2 linked regions of the Mus musculus genome follow. The protein of the gene in region 2 binds, or shares a complex with, the protein of the main gene of each other region. Links are inferred from orthologs where the notes say so. Each region holds a gene or a part of one and is shown on either strand. Other genes may lie near its edges.

Region 1 (4,549 bases), on a different chromosome or scaffold from region 2:
ACAGGCTCAGCTTTCACTACCCAGGATGAGACCAACGCAGGCATCCTGAGGACCCTTTCCTCAGAGGGAAGGCACCTCCCATCAGGGTGCCTGGTCTCTGAAATCTTGCTCCCTCTCTATCCACCCCGCCCTTCCTCCCCCCGCAGCCACCCCCCCTCATCCTCTCGCCAGCTGCAGCCTGGGCACAGCACCAAGACAAACGCTGTCTCACTGTCCACCCTCCTGGGCCAACCCTCCAGGGGTGGAGTAGGGTGTTTCTTAAAGAGCCCAACACAACACCCCTGCCACCCAGGAAGGGGTGTCCAGGAGTGAGTGACAGGGGACAGGGTGACATGGTGGCCCATGCCAGTGAGGCTGAAGATGCCTGTCTGGACAGGGAAAGACACCATCTCCCCATTAGATAGAACCACATACTCACCTTTGCTTCACATTTTCTGTGTGTGGCCACCTTGCAGACTAGAGAGAGAAAGGGTAGAGGTTAGCAGAGGCTTACGGGAATAGTCAAAATAACTGTGCTCCAGCCCCACAGGCCTTAGAAGCCAGCTCTGGGACCCTGGTACACTAGGTTACTAGGAGTTGAAGAACAGAGCTGGTTATCAACAGGTTCTGCTCTGGAGTAAGGGAAGAGGGCCGGGGGTTGGGGTCTAGGATGAATAGAGGTGAGGAGGGGAAAGAGGAAGAGGAGGAAGAACAGTAGGAGGAAGAAGAGGAGGAAGAAGAAAAGGATGAGGAAGAAGAAGAGGAACAGGAAGATGAGGAGGAAGAGAAAGGGGAGGAAGAGGAAAAAGAGGAGGAGGCAGAAGAGGAAAAAGAGGAGGAGGAAGAAGAGGAAAAAGAGGAGGAAGAAGAGGAAAAAGAGAAGGAAGAGGAAGAGGAAGAAGAGGAAAAGGAGGAGGAAAAGGAAAAAGGAGGAAAAAGAAGAGGAGGAAGAAGAAAAAGAGGAGGAGGAAGAAGAAGAGGAGGAGGAGCAAGAGGAAGGGAAGACCCTAGTCACAGGTAAGGATGGGAAGGTGGTAGAGTCACAAATCTCCTGGGCTGTGGCAAGGTGGGTGTCAAGAAGAGTGAGGGCATTTGTTTCTGAATTTGCCTGTCTCTAGAGCCTGAGCCACACAGAAGTGCTGCCTGGAGGGCTCAGGCACCAAGAGCACCACCTCACCTCGGCAGGAGACACCGGTCCCATCGATGGTCACCTTACACACTGCACACACTGGAGTTTTCTTCCGGAAAACCTTCTCCCGGAAGCTGTGTGGTTCTGCTTTCCTCGGCTGCGGGTGGGATGACAGACAAATAGGGGTATGTGTTCCTAGTGGGCTCATCTCCAAGGCTGGGCAGGGACCTTTCCTTAGAGCGATGCTGCTTCCCTCTCTTCCAGCCAAAAGTCTGTGAACTCTAAGGCACACTTGGCCACAGCTGTTTCAGGGTAGTCATGAGGCCTGTCCTCTACAGGGCTTGGAATGTGACCCCTTGCGTCACCTTGGCTGGGTCAACTCCTCCCTAAGGGTTCACTCAGGACTTCTCACGTGGCGGAGCTATGTGATGTCCTTGTCACACACACCCCCACTTCCAATGTGAGGGCTTTCTGAATCTTGGCAGAGTGGGGGGTCTGACTCTCCTCCCATCTTGCCCTCCCCACAAGAGGCTTGTATACTGTGAGCTGACGGCCAGGACACACAAGCACTATCACATAATACCCAGACTGACTGCAGCCAGTTCTGAGCCCCTGGCTCTCAGTGTCCCCAAGCTCCAGGCAGCTAATATGACCCCCTCCCCCACGGTCAGAACAACATGTTTACTCTCTGTGCACTGAGGCGGCAGGCAGCAATTGTCTAAGACGTTCGCTCGGAAGGAGGAATAGCAGTGGGGACACACAGGCAGCTGCCTCGCTGCCTCTGCATGTTATGACAGGGGTGGCCAGGTTCTCCGGATGCCCCCTCCCCACCCAGAGGTAGTGAGGTCAGTGGCTGGCTGGGCTGCCACCAGTTGTCCAGGTCCCCCTTAGTCCCTACTCACTGCAAGTTTTCACTGCAGTTCTGACCCCTCCCACCCCAGTTCATCCCTCCTATCTAGAGTCTGTGGACAATCTCCCTCACTCCTCCCACCACTCCACTGCACATTCTTCACCGCTGTGTGTTCAAGCTCCCGCTGTCCCCTCCTCTCCCTGGATCTGCCCACCGTAGTGTGAAGAGGAGAATAACATGGGAGCAGCGTTGGTCCCTTAACGACTGGGGGCGAGACCCACCAGGACACTTGGACGCACTTGTGGATGATGACGTCGTGTGCAGATGACGTCAGTAGAAGGCACCCTCCCTTCCCTCATTGCCTTCTTCCCATACCTTTTCCCTCAAGCTTCCCCCGGAGGTCAGGGCTTGAGCTCTTAGCTGAACCCTCGGGGCCTATCCAGGCTCAAGCCAGGAAATACACAGAGAAGTCAAAACAGATGCTAGAATCACACTGCTACCCTACCCTAGCCACCTCAGGGGGTCAGGCGAAAGAAAGAGGAGGGGGATGCTGAGCCAGCCAGGAGAAGAGGCTGAAACTAGGAAGAGGGTCTGGTCTGGCCTGAATCCTGGCCCTCCCGCCTTGTCCGCACCTCCACCCTGCCCCACCTTTGCCCAGCTGGTGGGCACTCCTACCCTGCTGGTGGCCCGGCTGCTGTCCCTCCTCCCCAGGGCTCTGAGCAACCTTTCCACAGGGCCGCTGGACTTCATGGTGTCTGGCTGGCTGGACTCTTGGCTGCAGGGCCTGAACAATGCTGGGGCCTGGCCTGGGGCTTCCTGGAAGCAGCCTGCCGAGGCAGCCGCTTCCCTTGGGTGGAGGGGAGGCTGTCTGGCTGGTGTGTGGAGAAGCCTGGCCCTGGAAGTGGAGGGAAGTGCAGGCGGGAAGGGGGCAGGTCGCTGCTCCAGGAAGTGGGGTGGGGGAGGATGTGGGGGAGGCCAGGAGATCAGATTCCCAGGATCTACCCTGCTGGGAGTGTCAGCCTAAGATCTCTGGCTCTCCCCATCTCTGGAGCTGCCTCCCACCCAGTGGGCCACTGTGTGCAGGGGGTCTGCAGTCCTGAGATCCAGCCCTGGAATCAGCCAGTGGCACAGGGTGGGAATTCAGGTCTCAGGGCAGGGCTCAAGGGCCAGTGGAGAACACTGTGTCCCCGGCCAGTCTCTAGCCTGAACCCTCATGCTCCCTTGGGATTTCCTGTGGGAAGGGAGTGTTGCTGGGAACCAGTACCCCTGACAGCCCAGCACTCCACATCCTCAGGGTGAAAGAAAGTTAGGGATGAGGGCTAACTTCCCTGTCAGACGGGAGAAGGATCTTATAGTACCCTCCTCAACGCCAAGTTCCAGCGGGAAGGGCTAAGGGCTTACAGGAATGGTCCATCTTGCTGTAACCCAAAGCACTGGAGGTTCCTCCTGAACACCCCAGCTGCTCCTCTCCAGATACAACCCACAGTTCCTGGCTTAGCTCCCAGATCCTGCACCTGAGGTTCTACTGGGGACCCCACCCGCCCACCAGAATCTGAGCGCTACCTTCATGGCTCTTCTGGCCTGTCTCTCCTTCCTCTGTGGCTGTCACTGGACCCGAGGACTGGACAGGAGGCCCCCTCCCAACACATACTCCACCCTCTCTAGGGCCTCCTGCTTCCCTCCTGGGAATAGGGCCAACTTCCTGTCCCAGGAGTCAAGGGAAGGAGGTGTATGGGGCCCTTGGAAAGGATGGAACAACCTTCCTACAACAAGGGTCAACAGCCTGGGGGTTCCCAGCCCAAGCTCTAGACAGCAGCCTTTGGAATGCTGTAGCTAGCTGTCATTTGAAAGAATGTACACCGTGTCACCCTCATTTGCATGGTATTTACTGAATGTCCCAGTGCAACTCCTCCAGTTCTGGCACCTCTTGCAGGGTCCCACAGGACTCTCCTCTTTCTGCCTCACGCCCATCTGACAGATGAAGGGCTGCTCTAGTCCTCCCCAGGGATCCTTCAGAAGACCTGTCAGACTGAAGAGTCTGAGGCCTCTTCCCGCTGCATGCCTGTTCTCTAGGAAGCCCATCGTTGCCAGTGTACCCTGGCTAGAAGGCCCTGTGAGTGGCAAGGGGTGGGGCACCGTGCTGTAACTGGAGAGGGCCCCTGGCTCTGCAATCCCCACCTGAGTTCTGGCTGTGTCCCAGGACATTCCAGGCCGATGGCCAGGTGGGCAACCGGGGCTGTCCTGATTCCGCACCCAGCCCTGCTGGGGAAGATGGATCACTGCAGCGCCTCCCCTGATCAATTTTTTTTCCCCTCTGCTCCTATGGTACATGGGCCTACATCTGCAACCTCTGGTGGGACTGAAAGTCTTTTCCTCTGGAACAGGTTCCCAAACAGCCTCTGCCCTCACTGAACTTACACTGCCCACCTAGATCTAGAAAGTTAAGTGTCTAGTTGGCTCTGCGCGTCCCCACCGCAGGGAGTGTGGAGTATTTCTGAAAGTAGCTGAGGGCAAACAGTGCCTGAGGAATGGCAGCATTACCAGATCCTCACCTCCCACCTCCTGCCTGGAATATTCCAGAGCTCTTTTGA
Region 2 (3,810 bases):
GCATGCTGGGGTTACAGGGATGTCTTGCCACACTCAGATTTTTATGTGTGATTTGGGAAATCAAATTTGATTGTTCCTGCTTGAATGGTAAGCACTGTACTGACTGAGCTATGTCTACAAGCCCCTATGTCCAAGTTCCTAATGGCTGTATAGCATTCCATACAATTTGTGATAGTTAAATATATGTTGATCAAAATTAGGCTTTTTTTTAGTTTCTAGTTACATGAAGCAAAGAATATCTCTGTATGTGTTGTTCATATGTATACAATTGATTATTTGGGTACAATTTGAGCTAATTTTCAATTTATCGTTATTTAACATTCATTAGTAACAGATAATACAAAAGATATTACCCATTCTAATACTAATGATTTGTACCTTAACCACATTTTCTATAACAAATTTTCAACTTAAATGTTTGCATTTAGTTTACTCATTCTGAGGCATGCCAAAGGTTATAATGTCAAAGGAACTATTTCAACCAATAATCGGGCAACACATTGGGGGTTGAAATGCTTAAAATAGAACATTTATATTAGAACTTGCAAATATATATAAATTTCCCAGTGCAGCCTTTAGCACTTTGCTGAAGAGCAGATCCGTTCCAGTACTCTTCATATTGATACCAATGTCCAGCCATGAACATGTGTTGCAGGAATGTGTAGTGTGTCTGTAGGCGGTTGGGTCAGATTTGTCTTATTTTAGGGAGCCATGTCATAAGTCAGTTAATATTTCCTTGTGTCATTATTGCATTCTCTCCAACAGATTTGATAGGACATATGGAAATTTCTGGAAATGTGACATGAACATTCCAATCATAATAACTTTCTGGCACCCTGACATTTAAATACAGCTTATGTAAGGAAGAGAGTATTCGCCAGAAGCACAGATTATTCTGTTGTAATATAGTCTAAGCATATTGATTTTTTTGCCGAAATGTCTTTGGGTTCATTTCATGTAGTTGAAATGATTACATTCACTTTAATGATCTATTTTGTTAAAAACAAAAACAAAAACCAATAAGAAGGAATTGGAAAGGTCCCCCCTCCAACAGTGGGCTAATGGCCCCAGTTAAACAAAAATAAGAATAGCTATCTTCTGTTTCACAAACGTTTCTTTAGTTCCTTCAACTGCCGTGGGAAAGTGACCAAAGAGGAAACTGTCCCTTAGAGTTATTTTACTTCATGTAGTACTACACTGTCAGAAAAAAAAAAGAAAAAAAAAAGTAACAGAAGCCTGAAACCATGAATAAGAGTTCGGTGCTAACCCACGGTCATGTAGCGCAACCCTGTATTTTTTTTTTAACTTCTTACAGGAATCTGTAGACTAATTCAAAAGGCCTAGGTATAAAATAATTGTATCATGTATTGGGCCCTTTCAAGGCAAAGACATAATGGTGTCGCTACTGATAGTAGATGTACTAGCATGACATTTAAAGTGATATTAGCACATGCAAAGAGTTGTCTTTCCTTATTAACAGTGTTACCTTGACTTAAGATTTATTTTATTTTCAATTCCATGTATGTATGTGTATATCTGCATGTGGGGTGTGTACACACAAGTGCAGGGGCCCACAGAGCCAGAGGCCATGCATGGGGTCCCCTGGAAGAGGAATTACAGGCAGCTGTGAGCCACTCCACATGAGTACTGAGAACTGACCTCTGGTCCTTTGGAAGAGACCAACACGGCCCTAACCTCTGAGCCATCCCACCAGTCTCCAGTTGATTTTGTTTTGGTTTTAAATACGTGGCTGCTGAGGACTAAGTATGATCTGTGAAAGGGAACGAAAATGAGCTCAAACAAATGAGACAAGATTAAGCACACTGCTGCTTTTCTTATAAAAATTACATGTCCCTTTTCAGAAGGCCATGAACTACAGAGTGTCATTGTGGTGAGTACTAAATTCCAAGGAGACTGAGCCATGCTATCTTAACGCACTTTTAAAGAGCCACAAGCCATCACGATGTTGTTAGTGAAACTGTAAGATTATTGTATTATGTCAACTCTCGCAGAGTTTCATGGTTTTATCAAGTGAGCGTTTTTCAATTTTACTAGCTACGTGACAGGATTAAAAACAACAAAACCAAACAAAACATCTGTGCATCATTTTCAGCCCAAGCACATCCATGAGTTATGAAAATAAAGTTATTTACAACACTTCAAAAAGCCAGATGATCTATGTGTGAGGCTTACCTTTCTCTTGCGCAGTCTGACTTGATTGTCTACAGTCTCCTGGGTGGTCACGGGGCCCCTTAAGTGTAAACACTGCATGCCATCTTCCCTGCTGACCCCGAGAGTGCTTTTGTTTTGATATTCTGAGAATCCACTCTTCTCCAGGTCATTTTCTGCTGACATCCCACCAGGGCAGGAAGGAGGCTGAAGAAGGCTGCTTCTGCAATCTGCTTTTAATAATGGCAGCCCTCTGTCTACATAAGGAGCTGCTAAGACGTCTTCTTCTAAGACATGGTGCCGATTATTTTCCTGGTCATCTTTAGGGAAGTCAGATTTCCTGCATTGTTGAGTGATGACTGCAGAATCAAGCAGTTGTGTCTCAGGTGTGACATCTTCTATGAGTACCGAAGAATCAAGTAGTAGTGTCTTAGGAGTGACGTCATCTTCCGTATTCAAAGACTGGAATGTATTTCCTATGGGCACATCTTTTGTTTCATCTGCACTCGTATTCTTACAAAGCCCCAGGCTTTTATTTATAGCCTCAACATCTTTCCTTTCTCCACTTCCTTCTGCTGGAGACATATCAGCCTTACCAGCCATCCTCCAGGTGTTATGAGAATCTTGGCTACTTTGCATGGTGGACAGTGTCTTCATGAAGGAGCCTGCTCCTTTGACACTATCTTGGCTGTCTCTTTCATGTCTTTGCGGAGTTAAAATCTGTGAGTCATTGATAAGGTTTAGATCAGAATCAGTATCCTCATCCGAAATGTGCACTAGTGTTTCTGTGCTGGCCTCGAGCGATAGAAACCGCTCTTCCCCTTCTTGGCTGTCACTTTCATCTACCTCCTGTGCAATGTGACCCATTGGCCTCCCAGGAAAGTCTCTTGTCTCTGACCCACAACAGCGGTCCGGTAGAGAGGCACACTTCTCTTTATGGTCCACATTTAAGGTCGCATCTTTTTCCATCCTTCCCTCCAAGCTGTCGGATGCCAGTCCGTGGTGACATGCTATGTCATACTCATCAGAAATAAAAGGCTGTTCGGTCTGCTGGGTCACGTGCTCTTCCCAGCTCCTCTTTCTGATAGCTACAGACATGTCATCATAGTTTAACAGCAGACAAGGAGATACATTCCATATGACACTCAAAGGGATGGAAGTCGGGGAAAGAAGATTTCAAATGCATGGGTCAAGGAAGAGAGTGTGATCTGCCATGTTGTCCACTGTGAAAGAATTGAAAATATGCTGTTATAGATACATTTCCAATATAATTATATTTCATGGCAAAGGATCTAATCTGTGCTGTGAAGCAGAAGTAAGAAATAATGCAAAACTTTTGCTTAAAAATCTTAATGTTTTTCCCCCCTTAGAGGCAGTCTAATATTAGAGAAAATTTTGCATTTAGTATTTTTAGTAAAAGTTTATCAGTACTTCCAAAACCAATTGGACTGGTTTATTAATGAAGAAAGATATAAGTATCCAAACATTTTAAGCTCCGTTAAGAAAATATTTGGACTGTGATGCTTAATAAAATTCACTGGAAAACTAACTTGTTGCTCTGGCTTCGTGTGCTTTCCTGATTTATTTTTGTGAACAAAAGCCATTAAGGAAATGAATTTGCTGCTTGGTTTGAATTGAAAC

What was found.
Region 1: the proteins of Dlc1 (region 2) and Tns2 are in contact, whole or in part, in an NMR structure (PDB 2LOZ), measured with the Homo sapiens proteins. The link is inferred for Mus musculus from reciprocal best matches to the Homo sapiens genes DLC1 and TNS2. Residues at the interface, in NP_001335010.1 of Homo sapiens: Glu811, Asp812, His813, Lys814, Pro815, Gly816, Thr817, Phe818, Pro819, Ala821, Leu822, Thr823, Asn824; in NP_736610.2 of Homo sapiens: Asp1268, Leu1269, Leu1270, Arg1271, Gln1272, Gly1273, Ala1274, Ala1275, Cys1276, Lys1317, Ser1319, Ala1320, Gln1321, Thr1324, Leu1387, Asp1388, Pro1389, Asp1390, Gln1391, Val1403, Leu1404, Leu1405, Gly1406.

What each region holds. Positions count from the first base shown.
Region 1 is NC_000081.6:102,101,246-102,105,794, reverse strand, and holds the start of Tns2 (tensin-2), read right to left. Parts: upstream 2,862-4,549; 5' UTR 2,709-2,861; coding exon 2,634-2,708; intron 1,266-2,633; coding exon 1,157-1,265; intron 457-1,156; coding exon 419-456; intron 1-418. UniProt on the Homo sapiens protein: Tyrosine-protein phosphatase which regulates cell motility, proliferation and muscle-response to insulin. Phosphatase activity is mediated by binding to phosphatidylinositol-3,4,5-triphosphate (PtdIns(3,4,5)P3) via the SH2 domain.
Region 2 is NC_000074.6:36,935,367-36,939,176, forward strand, and holds part of Dlc1 (rho GTPase-activating protein 7), read right to left. Parts: intron 3,393-3,810; 5' UTR 3,268-3,392; coding exon 2,194-3,267; intron 1-2,193. UniProt on the Homo sapiens protein: Functions as a GTPase-activating protein for the small GTPases RHOA, RHOB, RHOC and CDC42, terminating their downstream signaling.